Saccharomyces cerevisiae S288C: one gene and its partner. The protein of the gene in region 1 purifies or fractionates together with the protein of each later gene. This does not show direct contact. Each region holds a gene or a part of one and is shown on either strand. Other genes may lie near its edges. The genes, in order: MYO4 and MLC1.

Region 1 (6,981 bases):
TTAAGTCCCTTAGCTCTTTAACGATCTTGTCAAAATTTGCAATGTTTTTAACAAGGTCATTTTCATCTTTCAGAACCTCATCTTTCAAACTGTGCTTTAGTAAAGCTTCTGTCTGCTGTAACTGCAATCCGATATGACGCTGATAGTAGTCTAATTCATCTGAATTTAGCGAAAGATTCGAACTACTATATGTGATATTTCCAGGAGGTTCAAGAGGATCAACAGCCACTGACTGTGAGAATGACGTCGATGATGAAGACGATGAAGAAGAAGACAACGAAGATGAGGACGACTGCGAAAACGATGCATTGCAGGCGTCTTTTGGCGAAAGCCCAATGGGATTAGCAACGGCAGGAGAGGATTCGGAAGCTACAGAGGGCGGTCTTGAGGGCGAAACATGTTTCTTTGGTGAGCTTTCAAGATCATGGTAAAGCAAGCTCTGTAACGATATATCTGTCTGCGTGCTAGAACTCCCGTCTGATGAATGCGAATGATGTGTGGGTCGCTTGGAAGGCTTAGATATAACATTGGGCAATATTGGATCGAAAGCCGGCGCCAGTGCAGACGAATCCTTAGATTGCCCAGACGAAGAAGGCTCCATGGATTTCAAAAACCGGTGAACCAACCTTTTCTTGTCCTTCACGAAGGACCGGGAAGGTGATTTAAGACCGTACTTGTCGTTGTCTTTGTAATGGCGATGGGCTGGGTGCTGCTGGGCTTGCAACATCTTAAATGAGGGAAAATGGTCTTTGGCAGAGTATCCACCATCGAGAGGCTTTGATTCTACACTATGCTGCGGGAATGGTCCTTTAAAGGTGGCGACTACGTTAAATGGGTGTTTTGGCGAGAGTCCAGAAGACTTCATCGTACTGAGACTTCGTACTTTATCTGGTGCTGCGTTGAACATACAATCGCTGAACATTGCGGTCGAGGCAGACGTGTAATCCGGAATAACTTGACGATGCAGTTTATGACGAGCATGATGGTGCTCCATTTCATATTTCTGCTCTTTTTCGTGTAATGCAGCCAAATTACTGTGAGAGGCTTGCCATCCAACGTTTGGCTTAGTTTCAACAGTAGATTTGTGGCCAACATCTGGTGTTCCAGCGTCAATCATTTGCTTTACATCTTCCAGGGGTCTCTTTTCTACACCATCTTTGCTATTGCGATCTGTACCATCTATTCCGCTGCCTTTAGAAGAGCTCTTTATTTGAGCATTTTGCATTGTACCTGGACAACTACTGGACTACGTAAAAAACTGCCATCAATTTGTGTTATTCTTACTCTTTGAGACAATGTTTCATAACAATAGAACAATAGCTTTTTGACCTTCCCCTTATTTTATTTCAAAAGGTAACAGTTAGGGCTATTCTTAAACTTTCTTTAGGGTACACAATGAAAACATCAAGATTGAGTTAAAACCCTTAAAATAAAACTAGGTCTTTAAGAAACTCACTCTCCGGGTTATCCATAGAATGTTTACCATTCTTTAGGGTTCTGAACTAATGCGAAAAAAAAAAAAGAAAAGACTGAAAAATTCGAAAATATCTCGAAGTTTAGCAGTAGTAGATGAGAATAGGGTCTCTTTTATCGAAAACCTGCAATTGTAATACAACCTTTTTTTGAAAGTCAGCCTTTATTCTGATTCTGCATACTCAATTCCTCAATTCCTACGGAGTTATCACCTTTTTTTTTACCTTCTCTTCTTTTCTTATTGTTCTAGCTGAAAACATTGTTACCAGTTTGGCGAGACAATTTATTTTCAATACGATACCCTTTTGTTCTTCTTTTTATAATTCAATCTAATTCTAAAACACAAAAAAACAAAAAAAATCCTATAACCAGTTCTCCCGCATGTCATTTGAAGTAGGAACTAAGTGTTGGTACCCTCACAAAGAACAAGGCTGGATAGGCGGCGAAGTCACCAAGAATGACTTCTTTGAAGGAACGTTCCACTTAGAGTTGAAATTGGAGGATGGAGAAACTGTATCCATTGAAACAAATAGCTTCGAAAATGATGATGATCATCCCACGCTACCTGTACTACGAAACCCACCTATTTTAGAGTCTACTGATGACTTAACCACCCTATCATATCTGAACGAACCGGCAGTGCTGCATGCCATAAAAAAAAGATACATGAATGGACAGATATATACTTACTCTGGTATTGTCCTTATTGCCGCTAATCCCTTTGATAAAGTCGACCATTTGTACTCTCGCGAGATGATACAGAATTATTCTAGTAAGCGTAAAGATGAGCTGGAGCCGCACCTTTTTGCCATAGCAGAGGAGGCGTACAGGTTCATGGTCCATGAAAAGGCTAACCAGACTGTTGTAGTCAGTGGTGAATCCGGTGCTGGTAAGACCGTCTCTGCTAAATACATTATGAGATACTTTGCCTCAGTCCAAGAAAGCAACAATCGTGAAGGGGAAGTGGAAATGTCTCAAATCGAGAGCCAAATTTTAGCTACTAACCCGATCATGGAAGCCTTTGGTAACGCCAAAACTACCAGAAATGATAATTCCTCTCGTTTCGGCAAATATCTGCAAATTTTATTTGATGAGAATACTACCATCAGGGGGTCCAAAATTAGAACCTATCTCTTGGAAAAATCCAGGTTAGTTTATCAGCCAGAGACAGAAAGAAATTACCATATTTTTTACCAAATTTTGGAAGGATTGCCAGAACCGGTAAAACAAGAACTGCATTTGTCATCTCCCAAGGACTACCATTATACTAACCAAGGTGGACAGCCGAACATAGCTGGTATAGATGAAGCTCGAGAATACAAGATAACCACTGATGCCCTGTCATTAGTAGGTATAAACCACGAGACTCAGCTTGGAATTTTCAAAATTCTTGCAGGCTTGCTACATATAGGTAATATCGAGATGAAAATGACTAGAAACGACGCATCACTATCATCGGAAGAGCAAAACCTGCAAATCGCATGTGAATTATTGGGTATTGATCCCTTCAATTTTGCAAAATGGATTGTCAAGAAACAAATCGTCACAAGGTCTGAAAAAATTGTCACTAATTTGAATTACAATCAAGCGCTAATTGCTAGGGACTCTGTGGCGAAATTTATTTATTCCACGCTTTTTGATTGGCTAGTAGACAACATTAACAAGACATTATACGATCCTGAGCTGGATCAACAAGATCATGTCTTTTCCTTTATTGGTATTTTAGATATCTACGGGTTTGAGCATTTTGAGAAAAACTCATTCGAACAATTCTGTATAAACTATGCGAATGAAAAATTACAACAAGAGTTCAACCAGCACGTTTTCAAATTGGAGCAAGAAGAATATGTAAAGGAGGAAATTGAGTGGTCTTTCATTGAGTTCAGCGACAACCAACCTTGCATAGACTTGATTGAGAATAAACTTGGAATACTTTCTCTATTAGATGAAGAAAGTAGATTACCATCAGGCTCAGATGAATCATGGGCCTCAAAACTATATTCTGCCTTTAATAAACCGCCCTCAAATGAAGTTTTTTCGAAGCCAAGATTCGGACAAACGAAGTTTATAGTAAGCCATTATGCTGTTGATGTAGAATATGAAGTTGAAGGGTTTATTGAAAAGAATAGAGACAGCGTTTCCCTAGGTCATCTGGATGTTTTCAAAGCAACGACAAATCCAATTTTCAAACAAATTTTAGACAACAGAGAACTTAGGAGTGACGATGCTCCTGAAGAGCAAAATACTGAAAAAAAGATAATGATCCCAGCAAGATTAAGTCAAAAGAAACCAACCCTGGGATCTATGTTCAAAAAATCGCTCGGGGAATTGATGGCCATCATAAATTCTACTAATGTTCATTATATTCGTTGCATAAAACCAAATTCTGAAAAAAAGCCATGGGAGTTCGATAATTTGATGGTCTTATCGCAATTAAGAGCTTGTGGTGTGCTGGAAACAATCAGGATTTCATGTGCAGGCTTTCCATCAAGATGGACTTTTGACGAATTCGTTCAAAGATATTTCCTCCTGACGGACTACAGCTTATGGAGTGGAATTCTTTATAATCCAGACCTCCCAAAAGAGGCAATCGTCAACTTCTGTCAATCTATTCTAGATGCTACTATCTCTGATTCAGCAAAATACCAAATTGGTAATACCAAAATTTTCTTTAAAGCAGGAATGCTTGCATTTTTGGAAAAGCTAAGGACTAATAAAATGAATGAAATATGCATCATAATACAGAAAAAGATAAGGGCAAGATACTATAGGCTTCAGTATTTGCAGACCATGGAATCAATAAAGAAGTGCCAAAGCCAAATTAGAAGTTTGTTGGTTCGTACAAGGGTCGATCATGAGCTCAAGACAAGAGCTGCCATATTACTACAAACGAACATTAGAGCATTATGGAAACGGGAATACTATAGAGCTGCCATTGGGCAAATAATAAAACTACAATGTACCTGTAAAAGAAAATTGATTTTAGATAGTGTTAACAGGAAATTCATGCTCATGGCGGCAGTAATTATCCAAAGCTACATCAGATCATATGGTCACAAAACAGATTACAGAACATTGAAAAGGAGCTCCATTCTTGTACAAAGCGCCATGAGAATGCAGTTAGCTAGACGAAGGTATATAGTTCTGCAAAAAGAAGTTGAAGAACGGAATATTAGGGCTAGTTACGGGATTGGATTACTGGAGGAAGCTATCGAATTTAAGAACTCTTTCATTTTGAATCTAGAGATGTTAAATGACTCATATACAAGATTAACACAGTTGTTGCAGGGAGATTTGTCAAATATTCCATCTAAGCAAAGGCAAGAGTACGAAACGATAGTAAATGGTTATAATGATAAGATTTCCAAGCTGAAGACGTTACAAGTTGAAATCATGAATACTTTAAACAAGAAGAATGCCTTGAAGGAGAGAAAAAAGAAGCAATCTTCTTTAATACAGTCACATATGCAAAGTTTGGCTGCTATAAAAGGTAACAAACCTTCAAGATTAAGTGATGAAGTCAAATCAATGAAGCAAGAACTAGCGTTTATTGAAAACGTAATAGCACAAGATTTCACCACCACATATTCTGCTAATAAGAATGATAAAGTGAAAGGTTTGGGAATCGCAGGACAACAAGTAAAACCGAAGCTAGTCAATGTAATTCGTAGAGAATCAGGAAATCCTGATCTTCTAGAATTACTAATGGACCTGAATTGTTACACATTAGAAGTCACAGAAGGTTACTTGAAAAAAGTAAATGTTACTGAGGTGAATGGAGACAATGTTCTGGGTCCTATACACGTCATTACTACAGTGGTAAGTAGCTTAGTGAGAAATGGGTTATTGATTCAAAGTAGCAAATTCATCTCGAAAGTCCTATTGACTGTAGAAAGCATTGTTATGAGTCTACCAAAGGACGAAACAATGCTTGGTGGTATCTTTTGGTTAAGTAATCTTTCCAGACTTCCCGCATTTGCTGCAAATCAAAAAACATTATATGAAGCGAATGGTGGTGATGAAAAAGATAAGTTAACACTGATATATTTGAATGATTTGGAGAATGAAACTTTAAAAGTATTCGACAAGATTTATTCCACTTGGTTAGTGAAATTCATGAAGCATGCTTCAGCCCACATCGAGATCTTCGATATGGTTTTAAACGAGAAGCTATTTAAAAATTCTGGTGATGAGAAGTTCGCTAAATTATTCACATTCTTAAATGAATTTGATGCTGTCTTGTGTAAATTTCAAGTTGTTGACTCAATGCATACAAAAATTTTTAACGACACCCTGAAGTATCTGAACGTAATGCTATTTAATGACCTAATAACCAAATGTCCCGCGTTAAATTGGAAGTATGGGTACGAAGTGGATAGAAATATCGAGCGGTTGGTGAGCTGGTTTGAACCAAGAATTGAAGACGTTCGTCCCAATTTGATTCAAATAATTCAGGCTGTCAAGATATTACAGTTGAAGATAAGCAACTTGAACGAGTTCAAGTTACTATTCGATTTCTGGTATGCCTTGAATCCAGCCCAAATACAAGCAATTCTGTTGAAATACAAGCCTGCTAACAAGGGCGAAGCTGGAGTACCGAACGAAATCTTGAATTATTTAGCTAACGTGATCAAAAGAGAAAATCTGTCTTTGCCAGGGAAGATGGAAATTATGCTTTCTGCCCAATTTGACTCTGCTAAAAACCATCTGCGTTATGACACTAGTGCAATAACACAGAACAGCAATACAGAGGGCTTAGCTACTGTCAGTAAAATTATAAAATTAGACAGAAAATAAGAACAAAGTAAATATACGCCCATATATGTATATATGTATATATACATATATCCTACACTACATATGGAAGCTCCCTATATATATAGCATTGCGAGTGAACTTCTATCGACTAAAGTGAACAGCAATGGGGACGATGATTACAACAAGCAATATGATGATTACTAAAGCCAGACACATCTTCATTTTTAGATCCTTGTACCACATGGCTTTTCTGACCCTATTGGCACCCCTCTTAAAGCCTTGGGCTGAGACCGCTAGGTTATCGGCTTTATCTTCAATGGACGTTAATCTTTCACCTCTTTCTGCTACTTTATTTATGTTATCTCTCATTATTCCCACGGTATCATCAATTTCCTAAAAATAAACACGAAGAACGTATATGAATGTATACGCATAAGTATCAACGATGTAGAAAGTTAGTATAATGTTAATTTCCTAGATGGTACTCTGTGGCTTTCTGTACTTACAGCTTGTAGTTCCGCAGTCCTTGACTTAGACTGTACATTCTGGGGTCGTTCTTCATCGTGCTCGGATAGAGCATAAGGGTCAAAGGGAGTAGATGACGACATGGACAATGAATACGTTGCGCTTGCTATGTCTTTGGCGCAAATTTTCAATGTTTAACTAATACTTTTGACGATCTTTCTTATAGATGCTGTGGGAAAGACCCTTAAAAATGTCTGTTACCCTGCAATCAATGGTTGAAACAGC
Region 2 (2,870 bases), on another chromosome or scaffold:
ATTGTTCTTTAGTGAAAGAAACTGGATACTTTGAAATAATAAGCGATTCGAACTTGGTAACGAGATCGGACATTGACTCTTGAAACTCTATATTATACTTTCTTATTCAATTGGGCCCTGAAGTAAAATACGTCGCACGCTGTGTTAGGTTATCCATATGACTGAAAAATTTTCTTATCTCTTGCAAAATCGCCAAGCGGTTAGAATCCCTCAGAAACTGAAGAAAAACGCTTAATCGTTAATAATGACTATCACATACCATTATCATTTATTTGTTCATATATATGTTCATATATATGTACATATATATATATATATATATATATATATGACTATTTATTGCTATGCATTATAAAGAAAGACTTGGCTCTCTGAATTACCAGTATGAAAAATGAAAAACCGCTGGCAAGTTTTCATTGCATAATGGCGCTTTTTTCGTTTTTATGTCGATAGGACTCTGTTATATAGTAATAAATGTCTAAATTTGCAGTTCCGCACTCTCATTGTCTCAAAACATCTTCGATGAACTTCTTGTAGTCAATTTCTCCGTTGCTGTCCACTTCAACACCCTTCAACAGCTCGTCTACTTCAGCGTCGGTTAACTTTTCACCCAAGCCAGTTAGCATGTACCTTAAGTCACCAACGGATACCTTGCCTGTACTTTCCTTGTCGAAGACCTGGAATGCCTTGACGAAGTCTTCTGTCTTTGCCTTGGTAGTTGCATCCAATTCCTTTTCGTTGACTTCAATTAGGCCTGTAATCTGGTCCAGCGTCAAGCTAGAGGCGTCTCTCAAGCTCGAATCCGCGTTTATGATGTCCTGTACGAGCTGGTTGGTGGGGTTGTAGCCAATTGCCCTCAGGTAATCTCCCAAGGAATCCTTGGCAATGGCGCCTTGACCCTTCTTGTCGAATAGTGTGAAAATATCTTTATTGGCTCTGGTGGCTGACATTGTTATTCTATGTATGTGCGATGGGTGGTGGCGGAATACGCTGGGGAAGGAACTCTTATACGTCGATCTACTCTGAGTATTATTTTGTTTCAAATCTTACTTCAAAATGCTTTTGTTACTACTCGTGTGTAATGATATATGGTTGAGGTTCCTGACTGAACAAGATTCGAAAAAATGTATTCAGTATGGCATTGTAATGAGGGTCTAAGCAATAAGTAAAAGAAGGTGAGGTTTCAGTGTCATTTTCTTACACTATTCGGAGAGTCCATATACTGCAAAAGGGACAATGATGCTTAGAAGAAATGCGGTGAGATCGTTAAAAACTATGGAAATAAGCGTAAGCAACGTTGTTAACTCCGGTTCGATAGCAATGCTGAGAGGTAAGCTTGCCAACGTAGTTCTTAGCGACCGTACTTACCACTCCAGTCCGATATTTCATAAAAATGTACCTAAGGGCGTTTTGGACAAGAAGAATGGGCGAGAACAGCGCAAAACAGAACAGAATGTGTTTAATGTGGATCCAGCTTCTCCATGGCGCCACGAGCTTCTTTCGTTTGATGAGTGTGTATCATCTGCTTTAAAGTACTCTACCACGCCTTTGCAAAATACATACAAAAGAATAGGAAACAACCAATTGAATAAAAATCCATCATTCGCCATGTTTTGGGACTCCATGGGCAGAGCAATGGAGTTATACTATTCTTTGAGAGAATCGCCTGATTTCAATGCGTACCGGGTGTCACGTTTGATTCATCTGCTGCATAACGGTCTGAGGTCGACGAGAGACCAATTGGTAAAATTAAGTAGAAAGCCAGACTACGATTCGCAATCTTTTCACAAGGAAATGATGAACTTTCTATGTAATTCATTAAAGGATATATCTGATGACATTTTGATAGGCAAGGTGTCTGTCAGCGGATATGGAGCTACTCATCTATTGACTTCATTTAAAGAGCTGTCATTTGACGATGACTGTATTCGAATTTGGGAAGCGTCAAAGAATTTGTCCGACGAGACTACTTCACAGGCATTCCAAGAACCAAAAGTGGTTGGTTTTATGCTGCCATTACTTTATGCAAAAACGCGTTCTCTGACTGAGCCTAACGAGCTATATAACCAAATTATTCAATCCAAAGAATTTATCCATCCCAATCTTTACAGCGGACTGATAAAAGTCTTCATCAAGGCGGAAGACTACGAAAAGGCATTATCCCTCTTCGGCCAATTATGTGAAAAGGCTGAAGTGAGGAATTACGGTTATTTAATTGAAACGCACTTAAGCTTCATTGGTGATTCCAAGAATTTAACGTTGGCAGAAAGTTTCTTTGACAAAATTATCAACGATGAAATGCCATACAAGATTATTTTACAAGTCTCTACAGTGAACTCTTTTTTGCAGAATATATGGAAAGCACAGAACGATTTTGATCATGTTTATAGAATATGGGAAAAGGCTGTAAAATTTTATGGTAACACTGTTAATCCTGGAATTTTGTCCTCACTAAACAACACTTTTTTCACAATATTCTTCGAAAACTATATTAATGACAATATCAATGGTTTCCGTAAGCTTCAAGAAATCATAACGTTTTACAGTGGGGTCAAAAAAATTGATGAACCATTTTTTAACGTTATGTTAACTAGAGCATCTATCTGGCACGAACGCAGCATAATCGATTTTATCGATAAAAACTATACTTTGTACCATATTCCAAGAACTATTATATCATATAGAATACTACTGAAATCATTGGGAAGCATAGACAACACGAATAATGAAGAGATTCTGGATAGATGGCTGGAGTTGGTCAAGAAACTGAATGAATTGGGCCAACAATATATAGCCAATGCTGATCTGTCCGCTTTGAGGGATGCCACTGTCGTATGGTCACAATCAAAGAGGGATGAAAAGGTCTTTTC

What was found.
Region 2: the proteins of MYO4 (region 1) and MLC1 purify together in Saccharomyces cerevisiae (affinity purification with mass spectrometry; 4 studies listed by BioGRID). This does not show direct contact.

The regions. Positions count from the first base shown.
Region 1 is NC_001133.9:87,144-94,124, reverse strand, and holds MYO4 (myosin 4), read left to right. Parts: upstream 1-1,854; coding exon 1,855-6,270; downstream 6,271-6,981. Other genes in the region: FRT2 (Frt2p), read right to left, coding at 1-1,225; SNAP receptor SNC1, read right to left, coding at 6,373-6,624, 6,738-6,839. UniProt on the Saccharomyces cerevisiae protein: Part of the mRNA localization machinery that restricts accumulation of certain proteins to the bud and in the daughter cell. Recruited to specific mRNAs including the ASH1 mRNA, coding for a repressor of the HO endonuclease, via its interaction with SHE3.
Region 2 is NC_001139.9:304,640-307,509, reverse strand, and holds MLC1 (Mlc1p), read right to left. Parts: upstream 951-2,870; coding exon 501-950; downstream 1-500. Other genes in the region: ARC1 (Arc1p), read right to left, coding at 1-73; RMD9 (Rmd9p), read left to right, coding at 1,237-2,870. UniProt on the Saccharomyces cerevisiae protein: Essential light chain for the class II conventional myosin MYO1. Also acts as light chain for the class V unconventional myosin MYO2 and for IQG1.